Linked DNA regions of Mus musculus. The protein of the gene in region 2 interacts with the protein of the main gene of each other region in a biochemical or structural test. Links are inferred from orthologs where the notes say so. Each region holds a gene or a part of one and is shown on either strand. Other genes may lie near its edges.

What was found.
Region 1: the proteins of Anxa1 (region 2) and S100a11 form a complex in vitro, tested with the Homo sapiens proteins (2 studies listed by BioGRID). The link is inferred for Mus musculus from reciprocal best matches to the Homo sapiens genes ANXA1 and S100A11.

What each region holds. Positions count from the first base shown.
Region 1 is NC_000069.6:93,518,935-93,523,537, reverse strand, and holds the start of S100a11 (protein S100-A11), read right to left. Parts: upstream 3,043-4,603; 5' UTR 2,985-3,042; intron 1-2,984. UniProt on the Homo sapiens protein: Facilitates the differentiation and the cornification of keratinocytes.
Region 2 is NC_000085.6:20,387,872-20,392,166, forward strand, and holds the start of Anxa1 (annexin A1), read right to left. Parts: upstream 2,801-4,295; 5' UTR 2,741-2,800; intron 1-2,740. UniProt on the Homo sapiens protein: Plays important roles in the innate immune response as effector of glucocorticoid-mediated responses and regulator of the inflammatory process. Has anti-inflammatory activity.

The DNA.
Region 1 (4,603 bases), on a different chromosome or scaffold from region 2:
CACAGAACTCCGAGTGCTTAGAAACACTAGATGACTCAGACAAGGGAGAACTTTTCTGATATTCTTAGACAGTGTGAGAAAACATATGAATAATCTGTTCATATGACTATAGGAATCTGCACACACATGTTCTGAACTTTGGAGGGAGATTACAGTGAGTGACCTATTCCACAAGAGGCTACTGTGATTGAATGAGATGCCCTAAAGTAATTCTCATGAATTTCTCTGAAGAAAATGAACAGCACATCTGTAATCGTGCACTGGGGGGGGGGGGGGGAGGAGAGAGGACATTTTAGACGTTCGAAAGTATATTCAGCAAGGTGTGGGGGTGCATATACCCTTGGAGGATCAAGAGTTTGGGTTAACCTGGGCTACCTAGTGAAACTATAGATTTATTGTGTGTGTGTAAAGCAGAAAGCTAGACGTCACTAATTTTACTTGTGCAGAACTAAGGCATGAGAGGGCAACTATCAGGGTAGCGTCACCCCTAGGCTCTCGGCTACAAGGTTCCTTTCTACAGAGTTCTGCCTTTGTTTCATCCAAACGCCACTCATTTCCAAAGGAATGGTGGCTGGAATGTCTTAACACAGAGTTAAACCAAAGCTGTGGTTGCACCAGGAAGAGCATCATTCAAGTTCTGTGCCGGACTCTGCTTTTCCCACAGCAGAATTCCTAAAGGAAATTCTACTGAGTTGAGTCATCCTGGTTGAGATCTGTTCCCAGAATCCAGAATTGATCCGTTGTGCTCCCCCTAGTGGGTAGCAGCGCAACTGCAGGGTTTCCTAGACCCTGTCAACCACACCCTGACACTTTCTCGCTTGATGTTAACTATGATTTGTATGTATGTATGTATGTAATTTAGTATTTAGTTTTTGACTGCTCTCTAAGACGGACTTTCTGGATACGAAAGTTGGAAGCTTTCAGGCTGTGCAACAGCACATGCTAAAGATGACAAAAGCTGGCAGCCCCGCAGCCTCTCTTCCTAACACCTATCTTTCTTTTTCTTTCTTTCTTTCTTTCTTTTTTTTTTTTTTTTGTTTTTGTTTTTGTTTTTGTTTTTGTTTTTCGAGACAGGGTTTCTCTGTGTAGCCCTGGCTGTCCTGGAACTCACTCTGTAGACCAGGCTGGCCTCGAACTCAGAAATCCGCCTGCCTCTGCCTCCTGAGTGCTGGGATTAAAGGCGTGCGCCACCATGCCCCGTTCCTAACACCTATCTTAAGCAGCTTATTATCAAAATTGCACTGCTGTGGCTCACTGCACCTAGGAATGCCCAGAGTACCTGAACCTTCTTCTGGAGATAAGTTCTTTCTAAAGAGTCTGAAGGAGAGAAAACTATTGGTAAGTTAGGGGGGGGGGGGGGGGGAAACACCAAACACCACAGCCTAGAAACAAGTGTTTACACAACATGCTCTTCCTATCAGAACTAAAATCTAGCTGCCTTATTAGTGTGTCACATGATAGCAGGAGAGTTGGCACGGAGGACTCGCTAGACTGGGGAGGAGGTTCCAGGCCTATAGATGCTCCTTTCTTCTTTCCCTTAGAACAGAGGGCTCAGATGGGAAGGTTTTGCCCATGTGGAGCAGCGGCTGAAAGAGAGGGCACGGCCCACACCATCGCCCTTTTGCATGATGGGAACAGTGACAGCAAGGAAAACCCCACTGTGAAAGGACGCAGTGAGATCCTTTTAAAACGCAACCTAAACACCCAACGTTCCAGGGAAGCTTCCCCTTGACAGAAATATGTGAAAAAGAGGGAACCACACCAACTATCTCTTTCTCAACCAGCACCAAAGCTCTTCCTTCAAGTGTTCAGGGTCTCATCTATCTCCTTTCACCTCATAACCTGTTGGTGCTGGGCCCTAGGTACCCTGTGTGATGAAAAGGGGAAGAAGGAAACAATAAGTAGGAAGTGATGAAAGACTGACACACCAAAGCAGGGGTCCGCAAGCTTTCTGTTGCTGTTATTTGCAATAAAGGGACAGCTGTGGATATTTTTTAGCTCTTTATGCTCCATAAGATCTTATCACTCTTGCCATAGTCAGGCAGCAAGGGTGAGGATACATAAAGCAAAAGGGTGTGGCGGTGCCTGTAAACTCTATACATTTGATTTTCATGCCATTCTCATGCATTACAAGGGATTCTTTTCCTTTTGAATGTCTTCCAACCATTTAAAAACATAAAAATCTATAATTAGTTTGGGACTAGGGCAAAAACGCACTTGGGCCTCTCTCCAACATTTGCTGATCCTCTTTGAAGAGTCAAAGGAAGGGGTAGATTTTGGAGGGGATGTGAATTACTGGAAACATTTTTTAAAGAAACGAGGGGAACTGAAGTAGCAGGTAGGAGACAGGCAGGTGATGTAGGGAGTGGCTAAAAAGATGGCTGGGAGTGGAGTAAGGGGGAGAGGAAAAGAGCGAGCTGGGAGGGACTGGCCTCCTCCCACATTCCTGTCTGTGGTTCCAATGGCTGCAACAGGCTCCGGTTTCTCATCTGTATGTCTTGGCTGTTTGCCTGCGGTTTCCCCGCAGCTGAGTCCCCCAGAATTCAGGAAGGCTACGTTCTGAACCGCTTTCTTTCTAGTCTTCATGAACGCCTAGCGACGCTGCCCCAAGTTCTCACTGAGTCTGCAGCTCTCTGGCGGCCGCCACTGGTTGGGTTCAGGGGCTCACGGCCCCAGGGAGTCTAGCGGCCGCACCCAGCCCGGGCTCAGGCCAGTTAGGCAGCCGCACCCAGCCTAGAACTTATTTTGCCCGGGAGAACAAAAGACCGCCGTTTCTCCCCACAGGCTGTTATTAGGGTGTAATTTTAGGGCTTCCTCGTGCCCTCCACTCTTCTCTAATTGCCTCCCACAGTTTCATCTTCCCGATCCATTTTCTGCCACGTCCACACGTTAGTCCAAGATACACCCAGCCAAGAGCATGCGTAGCTCTTTGTTGTTTTCATTAAAAAGAAAAAAATCTAAAAAGTTCAAAAACTTATGCTTACCAAGTTGAGGAGCGAGGTCCGGCTGCGACTGTGGCTGACGGTGGCTGGGACAGGAGTGGCGGTCGGGGTCCGGGTCCCGCCCCTCAGCCTGACTCAGGCTGTGCCCGCCCCGGCCCCCGCCCCTCCGCAGGCCTCGGCCTGTCCCCATGTCGGTGCTCTAGACTCAGCTCACTGGTTGTAGTCCCTGTGACTCAACAGGTCTCTGTTCCTCTCTCCCTGGAATCTCAAAGATTTTTGGCTTTAGGGGAAGTCATGCCCCTAGCTCTTTTTCTATGCACGTGTCCATTTGCAGTTCAGGTCAGATAAGCAGAAAGAATGTGAGTCGTGCTCATCAAGTAGGTCCCTAGGAGCTGGGGCTGTCCTGCTACACTGAAGAAATTTAATAAACAGTTGTGATTTTTTAAATTTTTCTGACACGTGGTATTCCTGAGTAGCTAAAGCTGACTTTGATTCTCTATGTAGCACAGGCTAGCCTCAAACTTAGGACCCTCCTACCCCCGCATCCCAAGTGCTGGATTATAGGTGTGCACCATCTGGCCTACCTAAGGGCAGTGATTATTGCCAACAGAATATTGGTGATTATTGTCTAGAGATAATTTTCACCCTGCTTTCAAGTTTTAAAATGACAGTTAAGAAAACTCTTGCAGCTAAACATCTCCCTGTGCAAGTGCGGCATTTTCCTGTCTGTGTTTCAATAAAGTTGGGAATTGTATGACAAACTTCCAGCTTCTAATCCTTGGTCCACAACATCACTGCAGCACTTTTGGCAAGTACTGGCCCCTCTGAGCTTCCATTTTCCCATCTATAAACAAGCCATGCTGCCTTCACCACTTAGTAAAGGCACGTAGAATGTCTATCACATAGAGTGATGCCCTTAAGGAGACACCCCCCGCCCCAAAAAAAAGAACAACTTGCAGAGTAGATGTGAATAGGGCATTGTGTGAATGCTTCCTGGTTTCTGCTCCCCCAATTTCACCAGTCACAGTTCCTGTCTCTTGTTTAGGAACCCTTGAAGTCAGACATGGTGGCCCTTGCCTATAATCTCAGCATGTGCAAGGCTGAAGAGGGAAGACTACTGCAAGTTCAAGGCCAGCCTGTGGCCTACCTAGTGAATTCCAGAACGGCTTGGGTTACAGAGTAGGATTTTGTCTCATAAGAAAATTAGAATCCAAACCAAAACAAACACTCTTGTGTTTCCAACAATAATTCAAAAAATAATTAGATCCACCCTCTTTCCATTTCTGCCGATGATGTGACCATTTTCCCATTTTCCTTATTTGAAAACATTAGCACCATGTTTTTAAAAAAATTACTTTCTTACACGATTTTCTAAAATCATGGCCCTTGGAATTTCAGCTTACTGTGTGCTTGGACCCACCTGTCCTTCTTCCACACCTGCACTGATAGAGTTTACATCCCCACTCCCTTTTTCCATTGATTTTGCAACTGGGCCCTTGCCCTCCAATAAAAACATATTTAATCAATAAAAACACATTTTCCCAATGTGCAATTTTGATTGATTAACTGCTTACTTTAGAACAAAACACACAATAAAAGAAACAAAGTAACTTACTAATACTTTTATACCAAACCAAACTGCTGGGGACAGAAAGATGGCT
Region 2 (4,295 bases):
ATGACAGCAATGTGGCTTATGCCCTGGTTATATGCTAGGACTATCAGTTTCACAACGGTAGTAGCAGTAATCATTAGCCACTTCTTTTTTGACAAAATAACTTTGTCACCACCCGCATTATTTCTATATGTGATGACCTTTCCAGACATACATCCTGCGAGTAGTGTCAGTGGTCATCATATAAATATATGCTTTCTGACTGCAAAATACTATGTGTTTTTAAATTAGTAAACAGAGATGAGAAGATCAGTACTACGTTTAATCCACTTGAGATCCAGATTCATCAATAGAGAATCTATTGGAGACTCAACAGTTTTCACTGCAGCCTGAGGATATTGATTTTTTCGTGTTTTTGCTTTGTGTACAATTCTTCCTTGAATACGTGCTTTGTAAGCCCTTCCCACAACTACCCACGTGGAGAAGATAATTAGACTCTTCAATGGCCACATGAGAGGTAATTAGTCTATACAATGACATCACGCTTAAAACGCCATTTAGCCAAAGATAGCACCTGGTTATTTGGCTTCGGGCTTCTGACCAGGGAGTTTCTGTGGCCTGGAATGCTCTGACCTCATCTACTCCTCTGTCTTTTGCCTGACTCACTGCTGCTTGATGAAGGCTCAGCTAAGGCTCCATGATGGTTTCACTGGGACTCAGCTCTGCACTGGGGGACCTTTGAAAGCATCTTGTTTCTGCCCATCCAATAGCCTCATGCCACTATGCATTAAGTCTTCATGCTGGCATCTAACCCTCCAGCAGTCTTCCCCGAAGACACGGACCATTTGCTTGGAATCTGCAGTACCTCATGAAGTACCTGGAATTCTGGATATCCATAAGCATTAAGAATTATTACTAAATAAATAAATAAATCTTATTAAATAAACAAACAGCACTAGGGAAACAGCTACACAGATTTAACCAACAAATTTGACCCATAATGATAGTATTTTAAATAGAAAAATCATATCGTGGTGCTGTGGGCCTTTTTGTTTGTTTGTTTCTTTTTTTCTTTAACTGGAAATTTGACTTCACACACACACACAAAAAAAACATGAAAATTCTTCAGGTAAAATGTAATGTTAATTTAATATGTAAAATGAGAATGTTAAAATAAATATAGCTATAGCTATAGATCCCAATCACTTAGCTTACATTTCACCTTGAGTCCAAAGAGGGATTAACCTAAAGAGAAAGGTATTAGACAGATTGGATGCTTGATCATTCTGATAAATGAGTATAAGATTAAAGGAAAAAGAAATATTAAACTTTGAGAATTGTTCATGGTTCATCCCTAAGGATCCAGTAGTTTTTATTTGTGTCTTTTGCTCTGACTTTAAATATGTAACAATTTAATAGGTCTAGAGGGAAATAAGTGAGCCTGTCCAGCCTGTCCAACGTTGTTCAGGCATCAACGTTGCAGAAGTTTTTGATTGAGAAAGTATTTAACAAGCATCTGACTTTAGCTGGCTCCTTATGAGTGTTGCTATAGTCTCAAGAGCAGCGGTCTCCTATCAGGGAACTAGGAGGTATAGGTGTGTCTCTGGGCTCTGGTAACCACATAACTTCTGAAATGTGGAAGAAGCCATTTCAGAAGCAGGAAACCAACATTTTACAACATATGAATCAGCTGAAACAGGACTGAGCTGCAGCGAGCAAAGCACAGTACCTGCTCAGTGTTAGGGACATTGATTTCTCAGGAGTCATACTACCGAGGCACCGTGGCAAGAGGAAGCACATTTTTAATGGACACCCATAAAATTAGGAGATAAGACATTTCATTAACAGTTTTAAGTGAGCTAAGGAAAAGGTCCTTGAAGGCACATCTGTAATAAGCCAAGTGTGTAGTTAGGAATCATATGCTCTCACTTTTGCAATTTGATTCAATATTGTACAGCTTTATTTTTGTTTTGTTTTGCTTTCCTAGGAAATTTATCTCCTTATCTTATGCTACACCAAGACCGTCGCTAGGCAGAAGAGTTTCTGTAGGGCCCCTGCGGCATTCCGTGGGATGACTTCTCTGACCTCACCCTGGAAAAATCTGCTTTCCCCTTAGGTTTTCAAATGAGCACCAGAAAAGCCTGTCTATGACACAGAGATTATAGGGAGGGGAGGTGGCCACTCCCTGCTTAAATGAGACAAGTAATAAGCGGACCATCTTAAAGTGAGTAAACATAACATTGATTCAAAACGCTAATTAAAAAGGACCACTCGGAGCCTGGGATTCATTTGGTTTTATTAAAGAAAAATATTTTTAGCTGTGAAAGCCTTCCATTTTGGAACAGTTCTTGAGAGTTTTCCATTTGTGGTTTCTGTGGGACCCCCACTTGCCTTCCCACTCCAGCTCTGGACCCACACAAAACTCACAGCTCTTTGGAAAACTTTTCCAAAGAGGAGGAAAGAAAATCCTCACTCTTAGCTTGCCAGAGCACACTTTCTCTTTGCTCCTTTAGTAACTCATCAGCAGGACAGTAAACTTGCCAGACTTTCAGACATGCATTTCTTAGTTAAGAAAGGCAAAACTTTATGATTTTGTAACGTCTAAAAGATAAGCACACAGTCTAATTTTGCAGCAGGATTAGCTAAGACATGGTATTTGCAACAAACCGTAAATCCTGTAGTTGAATTCAGCAGTCAACAGCACTTCCTTAAGAAGCCCCAGGCAAACCAAGCAAGAAGTTCTTACCCGATTTTGTGGTTTCTCCAGCAAGCAGAACTCTGTAAAATGAAAGCTAAGCCTTACCTTTGTATTTGCTTGTCTTCCCGGGGACTGAAGAGAGACTCTGCTCAGATGGTTTCAGACTGGAAGTGGAGGGTTGGACTCCTGATTTTATAGGATATGAACTGAAGCCACACCTAGCAACCAGAAGTTAGTAACTGGCTGTCTTTTGTTTGAAGAACTGGCTCAGCCCTGGTCAAAACCAAGGAGAAACAAGTCTTGCAAAACTACTCCCGGAACCATCTCAGCCACAGAAAGAAACAGGAATCATGGATTTTCCCCCTGCTGTTCCTTCTGAGGTTTTATTCCTCACAGGAATGGTTCAGTGCAGTCGTGGTTCAGCTATGTTGCTCTCCCTGTCTTATCTTGGAGAACTTACTGGGACTCCTTTAAAATTAAACACATTGACCACAAAACTAAAAAAGAAGAAGAAGAAGAAGAAGAAGAAGAAGAAGAAGAAGGAGGAGGAGGAGGAGGAGGAGGAGGAGGAGGAGGAGGAGGAGGAGGAGGAGGAGGAGAAGAAGAAGAAGAAGAAGAAGAAGAAGAAGAAGAAGAAGAAGAAGAAGAAGAAGAAGAAGAAGAAGAAGACGAAGAAGAAGAAGAAGAAGAAGAAGAAGAGGAAAAGGGAAGGAAGGAGAGGGTTTGATTTCAGCCCTAGCACTTATTACTATGTGATTTGGAGGGCTTAATTTATTTCTCTGAATTTGTTACCATTTTTGTATGTTGAAGTTATATCACTAAGGCTCTACTTATGCTCAAGACATTGTAGACAATTGAAATAGAACTTATTTGGAGGTTTTTAAAAAATGATTCTCTAATGAGTGCTTTTCTTGTGATTCACCAGCAATGCTCTTGCCTTCCTATTAAGCCTTTGAAACTAGTATAACTAAGAAACAGGGAACTCGTGAGACTCTGAATTACCTCAGCATTTTCAATAATCGATGTTAAAGATGGAATTATAATGACATTTAATAAAAACACTAGTATTGAAGAAGAGCCTATTTTTTAAATTTTTGAATAGACTCAAACCACATGAACAGAGTAGAAACAGAGCCCTGCTGTTATAGAAGAGTTGAGCAATGAGCAAAGACACGGAACTGTGAACTGTAAGGATTAATGGATTAGCAACTACCACAACAGGTGTCATAGGAAAAGGCCCATGGGATGTAAAGAAGGGAGGATTTTCCGGGAACCTCAATGTGATTCATTCTTTATAAAATCTACAAAAAAAAAAAAGAAAGAAAGAAACAAAGGAAGAAGGAAAGAAAGAAAGAGAGAGAGAGAGAGAGAGAGAGGAGAGAGAGGGAGGGAGGGAGGAAGGAAGGAAGGAAAGAAGATAGTATCTGCTGTTTCCTCTGAACTTTGCACACTAAGATTATGCTTGCATTGTACTTTTAAAAAATTATTTATTGTTTTAATTTACATGCATTGGTGTTTTGTCTATATGCACGTCTGTATGAGGGTGTCAGCTCCACTGGAAATGGAATTACAGACAGTTGTGGGCTGCCAGGTGGGTGCTGAGAATCGAAGCTGAGTCCATCTGGAAAAGCAACCAGTGCTCTTACCTGCTGAGCCTCTT